2 linked regions of the Canis lupus familiaris genome follow. The protein of the gene in region 1 purifies or fractionates together with the protein of each later gene. This does not show direct contact. Links are inferred from orthologs where the notes say so. Each region holds a gene or a part of one and is shown in the gene's direction. Other genes may lie near its edges.

Region 1 (4,265 bases):
CCACGGGTGTTTTCCCGATGTCTTTAAAAGCCATGGCTGCAGCTTGGCTCCCTGATGAACTTGTTCCTCTGGGACAGGGAACAGCAGTGAGTCAGGAGCTGAAGCTGGGTGTACAAAGTTCTGCTATTATTGCACCTGTATCTTCTTCAAAGAGCTAAAAATATTCTTTCTTTTAAGGTTTGCCTCCTCGTGTTAATACATGTCTACATGATTGCTTTCTTCTCTGGACTAACAGTATAAAGGGGTCTATTATTATTACCAGTGTCTGTCCATTTCTGGCACATAAGAAATGCTAAATGTTAAAGTCATTATGTGTTTTACAAATTTTAAAACTTATTATACATTTATTATCTCATTTGATCTTCTCAGTAATTCCTGAGCTTGGCAAAGTTGATTGTAGGATATTCACTCGGTTGGTGAACAAACAGGCGTCAACAGTGACTAAGCAAACCACGGTTAGTAGAGGTAAGTGATGGGAATGAATCCCAGGTCTTCTGACTGCCACTCTTTCCTCTATATCCTGCTGAAGGTTAAAGGTCACCCAACAGAATTACGCTGATGGTAAAAACAAGGGTGATCAATAATATTCGAAAAGCAGACTGTGTATAAAGTTTCTTTCCACTTCCTCCAAAACCCATTCTATACTGGGACACTACTTTAACCTCCCCAATTTAATTCTTTCTGGTAAGAATCGTGGGCTGGGGCGCCTGGGTGACTCAGCCAGTTGGGCATCTGCCTACTGTTCAGGTCACGATCCTCAAGTCCGGGATGCAGCCCCAAGTTGGGCTCCCTGCTCAGCGGGGAGTCTGTTTCTACCTCTGCCCCTCCCCCTGGAGAAATAAAATTAAAAAAAAAAATGTGGGCTAAACCATTTGATCTTAAGTCACATTCCCCAAACTCCACAGGCTACCAAAGATCAACCCTTACTGAATGATGGAAGTTTTACTATTAAGAGGAACTCTCTTAATACGGTAAATGTCAGAGATTTTTAGTTTCAAAGCGCTTTTCAAATTTCAGACCTCTTGTCTGATGGATTCTTTCTACTTCGCCTCTATTCTAGGTTCCATCATTGTACAAAGGGGAAAGCCCCGGTGAAGAAGCTAACTTCAGGAAAGGGCCGGTAGTCCGGGTCTACCATTCTGATTCCGGGCTGTTTCTTTTTGCACCAGTTAAAGGGGAATGAGGCCACACCCACCTCGTGAGGACGGGATGCCGCGAGGATTAGGGATTCGAGGAGGAAAAGCGACTTGCAAACCTTCATTCTAAACCCATAAGTAATCATTATTAGTTTTGCCAATACAATATGAGCTACTTAATTTGGGGGGGGGGGGGGAAATGGTCTTCCAACCTTAATTACGCAAAGTTCCTATCGCCCGGGCGCCTCTGAGCAGCTAGAGTCCGCCTCCCCCCACGGTCCTCCAGGGACCCGGGAGCGGAAAGGCGCGCCCGCAGTGACGCATTTATCCCGCGCGATGACGTGGCTGCCAGGCGCCCGGCGGCACGTTGGCCAGGCCTTGGGCGGGCTTCAGGGGGCGCAAACATGGCTATGGCCAGCGATTTCTACCTGCGCTACTACGTAGGGCACAAGGGCAAGTTTGGACACGAGTTTCTGGAGTTCGAGTTTCGGCCAGACGGTGAGCAGCGGAGCGGGGCGCCGCCGCCGCCGCCGCCGCAGCCTAGCGCGATGCGCGGCTGGGGGAAGCGGGGCGGAGAGGACTCGGAGGAGGCGGGGTGCGGTGAGCCAGCGTCGGGGGGCTTGCGAGTCTGTCGTGGGGGCCGAGGTCACGGCTAGAGCCGGAGTAAATACGAACTGAAGACTCTTCAGAAGCAGAAGTTGGTTCTCTGCATAAAAGAAAATTCACGGGTGTAGATGAATTCAGAAAATCGAATCCTGCCAGGTACTGAAAACTTGAACATAGGATAATGAGAATCCCACGTTCAGCGCACCGGAAGAGACCCTAATGCCATCTAGTTTACTTGACGTCATCCTTGAACATTTTAAAGAACATCCCACCACGCACTGGCCCAATGGATGCTTAAAATCTTTCGGGGACCGGTGATTCTCGGACTCCCCATTCAACCATTGTATTCGTTCAGGCGCTGTCTGTAAGGCCACGTGTCTAGGAATAGGAATGAGACCCACTCTGAAGAAGGAAGCTCCACGTATGGAAGAATGGGTATAATGATGTGGTTTGGGTGATTAAATATAGTTGTTCCCATAGGATGCGTTAAGAATACAAAAGAGGGGAATGGTTAGGGCTACATGTAGGCGTCGAGGAAAGCTTCCTAGAGAAGGTAACGTTTGAAATTGTAGCTGGTATGCAGGGCTATTCTGGGGTTCCCAAACAGACCAGATTGGGGGCGCAGCCGCTGATAACATCCAAAGGCAGAGAATCTACTGTTGGTGAAACAAGAAAGGAATTTAGTTCAGAGAGGCCGGCACCAAGGAGACCATGGACTAGAGTCTCAAACACTCTCTCTACATGCCAAAATGCCAAAAATACATGCCAAAAAAAAATGAGGGGCAAAGGTGCGTTTGAGATCATGGTGGAGGTAGCCCAAAACCTCTTTCAAGATGAGTCTTGAAATGAGAATAGACTTTTTTTTTTTTTTTTTAAGATTTTATTTATTTATTCATGAGAGACACAGAGAGGCAGAGACACAGGCAGAGGGAGAAGCAGGCTCCATGCAGGGAGCCCGACGTGGGACTTGATCCCGGGACTCCGGGATCACGACCTGAGCTGAAGGCCGACGCACAACCGCTGAGCTACCCAGGCATCTCGAGAATAGCTATTTTCTTGGCCTGTGAGGGAAAAACAACAACAAACATTCAGACCGTGGGAAGCAGCATGAACAAAGGATAAGGTGGAAACTGCTGCCTTGTAGGTGCAGCATATTTTATGTTTTGAGAGCCCTGATTCTCTTTAGAGAGTTATTGTATATTGAACTCTCCTTAGAACCAGGACAGTCCACCTGCATAGATTTTTCTGTCTTTGAATGCCCGTTATATGCTGGGCAACATGTAAAATACAAAAATTGAGGGTACAATAATGAGCAAGTCTCTTCAACTTCTCTGAAGGAGTTTTGCTTTGGGTAACAAAGATGTAAAACTAGCCATAAAACAGTGTGGATATTAAATGATGTGTTATGCTTTGGACAGAGTTCTGTGAGAGTGAAAGATAAAGCACAGAAGCATCATCACATATTAGAGAAGGGGGAATAGTATCAGACATAAAAAGAAACTCAAAGTAACTACAGCCCTGCAGTTCAGAAACCTTAATCACTATTCTCCTATGTTCTTGCCATGTCTCTTCTAAATTTAGCTAAGGAGCCAAATTTACCTGAATTCTCCATCTAATCTTTTCTTAGGTGATACTCCTTTTAGTGCTTTTGCCTGTAAACAGCTTTCAGCTTGCCTAGATCATGTTTAGTCACATAAATTAAGTAGTCTCATTTATCAGGGAGAGTTCATGCCAGAACAGTGGTTTTCATCCAGTTGTCTGCCACCACACCATTCCATATACTTCCTTCAGTGATCAAGGGTCACTGCACTAGGGTAACCTATCATTTTAGAGATCAGGACCACATTACATATGTATATGAACAACTGACTATAGCTATGAGGAGAAGCATGCATCAGGGAGTACAAAAGTCATGGATTAAAGTTAAGTGTAGGTCAGCTAACAAACTGGCCGACTTTTATCTAGAAGCAGTACATAGTTTTGTATCTTAGCCACAGTGTTAAATAGTAGCATTGCCATGCATAGATTAATTTGAAGGAGATAATTAAAAGAACACTTTGGAGTAGTGGGGAAAGCAGGAGTATTGGAAGAAGGTAGACCTAGAACTGAATCTTTGTGACCCTGGGCAAGTTATTTAACTCTGTTTTCTCAACTATGAATAGTTGAGAGAATAAAACCTTTTAAGGGTTGTTTTACCGATTAGATCTAATGCTCTGGGTAAATGACTTAGGGCCAATAGAGACCTATTACATAGGCTTTAAAAAAAATGTTAATTCCTTTTTCAGAGTCCCTGTTTAGTTCATGACAGCTTAGGCAAATGAGCCTTAAAAATGACCCCTCTATTATATTGAATTATATTGAAGGCATGAAATATTTAAAAATTATGTTAAATACTTTAAAAATCTATTGAAGGCGTGAAAGTTTTGAAAATGACTGGCTTCACCTTTAGCCAACTTTTTACCAACAAATATTTGAGTGTTTACAGGTCTAGCATTGATCTTATGCTGAAAGGGCAGAAATATT
Region 2 (4,435 bases), on another chromosome or scaffold:
CAGTGAACAAAGGGAAAGGAAAAAACAACAGCCTTGTTCTCCCCAGCCTCTTCTTTCTCCTCTTCCTTCTCAGGGTGTGTGTATGGTGGGGGTAGGGGGGTCACATCCGGGGCCCAGGGTTGGGACCCAGGCAGGTCTGCTGGGCACATAATAGCACAATTGAGTTTCACTTCCTGTCAACCCCCGAGCTGAGGCAAGATGTTTGGGGGCACAAGGAGGGGCCTAGGGTTGGTGACTTTAGGATTCTCTCTTGCAGAAAGGTCCATTGATCCATGCATCCCTCTAGTTAAAGGCTTCATTACGCATTCTCACCTCTAATAATCATTAATAACAAGACTAAGGACAAGATGCTGACCCAGTGAGGCTGAAGCCCAATTGTTGCAAGAGAGCAGGGGTTGGGGCACCTGGGTAGCTCAGTGGTTGGACGTCAGCCTTGGGCTTGGGTCGTTATCTGGGCATCCTGTGTCTCTGCCTCTTTATGTCTCTCATAAATAAAATAAATACAGTTAAAAAAAAAAAAAAGACAGCAGGGATTAAGAATGGCAGTGTTAGGGATCCCTGGGTGGCACAGCGGTTTGGCGCCTGCCTTTGGCCCAGGGCGCGATCCTGGAGACCCGGGATCGAATCCCACGTCGGGCTCCCGGTGCATGGAGCCTGCTTCTCCTTCTGCCTATGTCTCTGCCTCTCTCTCTCTCTCTCTCTCTGTGACTATCATAAATAAATAAAAAAAATTAAAAAAAATATTTAAAAGAATGGCAGTGTTAGAACATTGGGAATAACTGTGTATTGAGTGCCAATCAGTGCTTAAGTGAATCTTTTAAAAATTTTTATTTATGTATTCACGAGAGACACAGAGACCCAGGCAGAGGGAGAAGCAGGCTCCCTGCAGGAAGCCCGGCGCGGGACTCGATCCTGGGACCCCGGGGTCGCGCCCTGAGCCGAGGCAGACGCCCAACCGCAGAGCCACCCGGGCGCCCCTAAATGGGTCTATTTGGGACCTTCTGAGCGGGGCCTCTGGTGCGAGACAGGAAGGTGGAGGAGGGGATGGACGACAAGCGACGACCTGAGAAAAGTTCAAAGCTTCCTATCAAAGTTTTAGGAAGTTAGGCAGTGCTCTCGCCTCTCTCAAGCGCGTGCGGCCTAGTGTCGGAGGTAGGCCCTGAGGCCGGGCCCTCGCGGTGCAGGGGACGTTAACGTAGCGTAGTCCGTAGCCCGAAGCGGGGGCCTGGGGGTCAAAGATCCGCAGGGAAGGGCAGCGCAGCGGGAGCGCGGAGCCAAGCCCCAGGAGAGGAGCCTGCCGCCGGCCGCTCCCGGGCTGCGGGGCGACCTCTGGGTCCCTCCGGGGAGCGGGAGGCACCGGCCGGCGGGCGGAGGGAGGGGCCCTGCACGCGGCCGGCTCCAGCTCGAGGCCCGGCGCCCAGACCTGCGCCAGGTTAATGAGACTCTAAGTGGCTCCGCCCAGAGGCCTCCGCCCTGCCCTCCGACCCCGGGGCCGGCCCGAGGAGGCCGCCGGGCCGGCCGGGGATCTCGGCGGCAGCCCGGGCCGTGCGGGGCCGAGCGGGCGGCCCCCGACAAGGCCGGGCAGCCGGTGCGCGCCCGAGGCCCCGGGGCCCGGGGGCAGGGTCCGGCCTGACCCCTCTACCGGCCCGCGCTCCGGGTGCCGGTGGGCCTTGCCCCTCTTCCCCGAAGGCCCCGGACGGACGGAGGGGCCGAGCCCCGGAACTTCTCTCACACGGACCAGGCGCCCGATATTGGTATCACTGGCCCTACTAGAGCCTCCGGCTTTTATTTTATTCAAGTCTTTAGCTTCTAGCTGCCTTTAGTCTTCAGCTTCTCCGCCGCCTCCGTCCACGAAATGGTGCACTCTCCCTTTAAGACTAAAATGGTGGCTGGCTGCGATCTGGACTCCACTTCCGGTGGGGAGGGGGGCGGGACCCCAGCCCGCTCACGCCGGAAGTGGTTTGCGTTTTCAAGATGGCGACTCCCTATGTAACTGACGAGACCGGCGGTGAGTGCGGGAGGCGCGGAGCCGCTTCTCCCCGGGCTCTCGGGGCAGGGGTTCGGACTTGGAAAGGGGTCTGTGCCCCGCCCATCTCGGGGCCCCTCCTTTTGCCCCGCCCTCCGGACCGCCTTCCCCATTCATCCTCTCCTGTGGGGTGTCACCTGCGCCCCCTTCTGGTCTCGCGTTTGGGGGTCCCTGCTTCCGGTCACCCAGACCCTGGGGTCCTTCAGTGAGGTCCCTGCTCCAGGACCCTCCTAGGCCCATAGCTTTCCTCCAGCAGCTGGAGATCCCATATCTCTCTTGGCTGCTCCAGGTGTGGGAACTCCTATACTCTCAGTTCCCTCCAATTCCAGCTTTACTCCGGCTCCCCTCCCCCACCTGGCAGCTGTACCTGCCCTGTGCCCTACCCCAGCCCCGTCTTGGTTCTCTTCCTCGAAGCTCTATCTGTTAAAGACCTCTTCGTTGCCATAGAGTGCTTTTTCCATTCTCTCCCTCGCCTTCATTTTTGGGTCACTGAGGTTCAGAGGTGTGAAGGGAAGAGGAATCGAGTATAACTTTCAGCTTGAGTTTTCTTCTTGATGGCATCACCCTTCTGTACCTTCTCTGGTGGTGGTGGTGATAAAAGTCGAGGGAGCTGAGGTGGAAGAAGGCAAACAGGAGGTGTCTAAGTGGCCTCTCAAGCCCTGTGACAAGTTCATAGAAGCCACGATTCTGGCTAGAGAAGAGTTTCCGGCCTGGCTGGTGGAGATGCTGAGGTGTATGGAGGTTGATGTGTTGAAAACTGGAAGTCAGTATTTTCATTTTGGTTTTGTCCCATCCTGATTTCCTCATCTTTAGAAAAATGTGCCTAGGAATATCTACCTAGTGACGATCAAGTAAGATAGCATATGTGAAAGCAATTTATAAAAAGCTGTACAAGGCTAGGTGTTACTGGTTTTTGTGGCCTTGGCTGTGTACATGCAGTCTCTTGTAGACGTGACACTGTGTGTGCTGCTGTGCTCTGAATTGTGCCCTTTATGCTTCTTGCTTTGCTACTTTCCATGTTCCTTAGGTCTCAGCCCACCTCTCCTGTGGTATCTTATGACAAGCCGGGTCTCTGCTACTTGTCTCCAGCCTCACATTTCAAAGTGGTGCACAGAACCTCTTCTGTTCTCTACAGAAGATCCTTCTTCTACTGGCTCCTTTTAATGTGAGCTTTGAAAATATTACTTACTGTTCAGTGTGCTTTTCTTTATTCAACTATTTTCTTAAAACCTATTTCACAAAAATCCAGATACCACATTTCACTCTACTCGCCCACTAAGAGTTATCTTCTGTTCTCTGACTATGTAGAAGAGAAGGAATAGCACTGCTTTTTTTTTTTTTACTTTGTCTTACTACTTCCAGATCATTGACCTACCACTGTCATTCTAATCTTTGTGGAAGGTATTGCCATGCAATTATAGCATTTTCTCTAAAATCTCAGGGCCATCATTTATTGCCCATAAGGACCCAGACCTGTTGCATCACTTTTTTCTCCACTGTGTTTCTTGCTCTTTTTTTTTTAAAGATTTATTTATTTATTTATTTATTTATTTATTTATTTATTTATTTATTTATGATAGACATAGAGAGAGAGAGAGAGAGAGGCAGAGACACAGGAGGAGGGAGAAGCAGGCTCCATGTTGGGAGCCCGACGCGGGACTCGATCCCAGGACTCCAGGATCGCGCCCTGGGCCAAAGGCAGGCGCCAAACCGCTGAGCCACCCAGGGATCCCCTGTTTCTTGCTCTTATTCTCAGTATCTCCAGCATCTTTGAAATATTCTGGTCTTATAGTTCCTCAGCACAAGATGGTTGACTTTCCTTTGTGGTTTTTTTTGTTGTTGTTTTGTTTTTGTTTTCCTTTTTTTTAAAGCTTTATTTTTTTTTTAATTTTTATTTATTTATGATAGTCACACAGAGAGAGAGAGAGAGGCAGAGACACAGGCAGAGGGAGAAGCAGGCTCCATGCACCGGGAGTCCGACGTGGGATTCAATCCTGGGTCCCCAGGATCGTGCCCTGGGCCAAAGGCAGGCGCTAAACCGCTGCGCCACCCAGGGATCCCTGTTTTTGTTTTCCTGAGCCCAGCTGAAAGCTTGCACTCAGGACCCTGAGATCAAGACCTGAGCTGAGATCAAAAGTTGGCGGCTTAACCAACTGAACCACCCAGGCGCCTCTCCTTTGTATTTTTAACGTAGCTACACATCAGGGGCGCCTGGGTGGCTCAGTCAGTTAAGTGACTGAGTTTTGGTTTTAGTTCAGGTCGTGATCTCAGGGTCATGAGATCCAGCCCCACGTTGAGCTCTGAACTCAGCACGTAGTCTGCTTGTCTTTCTCCCTCTGCTTCTCCCTCTGCTTGCTATCTCTCTCTCTCTCAAATAAATGGATAAAATTTAAAAAAATAAATAAAGTA

Evidence for each region. Proteins that work in one complex are often made in the same cells at the same time.
Region 2: the proteins of MAGOHB (region 1) and PYM1 purify together in Homo sapiens (co-immunoprecipitation; 3 studies listed by BioGRID and IntAct, with this or other methods). This does not show direct contact. The link is inferred for Canis lupus familiaris from reciprocal best matches to the Homo sapiens genes MAGOHB and PYM1.

What each region holds. Positions count from the first base shown.
Region 1 is NC_049248.1:11,017,090-11,021,354, reverse strand, and holds the start of MAGOHB (protein mago nashi homolog 2), read left to right. Parts: upstream 1-1,446; 5' UTR 1,447-1,540; coding exon 1,541-1,634; intron 1,635-4,265. UniProt on the Homo sapiens protein: Required for pre-mRNA splicing as component of the spliceosome. Plays a redundant role with MAGOH in the exon junction complex and in the nonsense-mediated decay (NMD) pathway.
Region 2 is NC_049231.1:615,967-620,401, reverse strand, and holds the start of PYM1 (partner of Y14 and mago), read left to right. Parts: upstream 1-1,591; 5' UTR 1,592-1,974; coding exon 1,975-2,008; intron 2,009-4,435. UniProt on the Homo sapiens protein: Key regulator of the exon junction complex (EJC), a multiprotein complex that associates immediately upstream of the exon-exon junction on mRNAs and serves as a positional landmark for the intron exon structure of genes and directs post-transcriptional processes in the cytoplasm such as mRNA export, nonsense-mediated mRNA decay (NMD) or translation.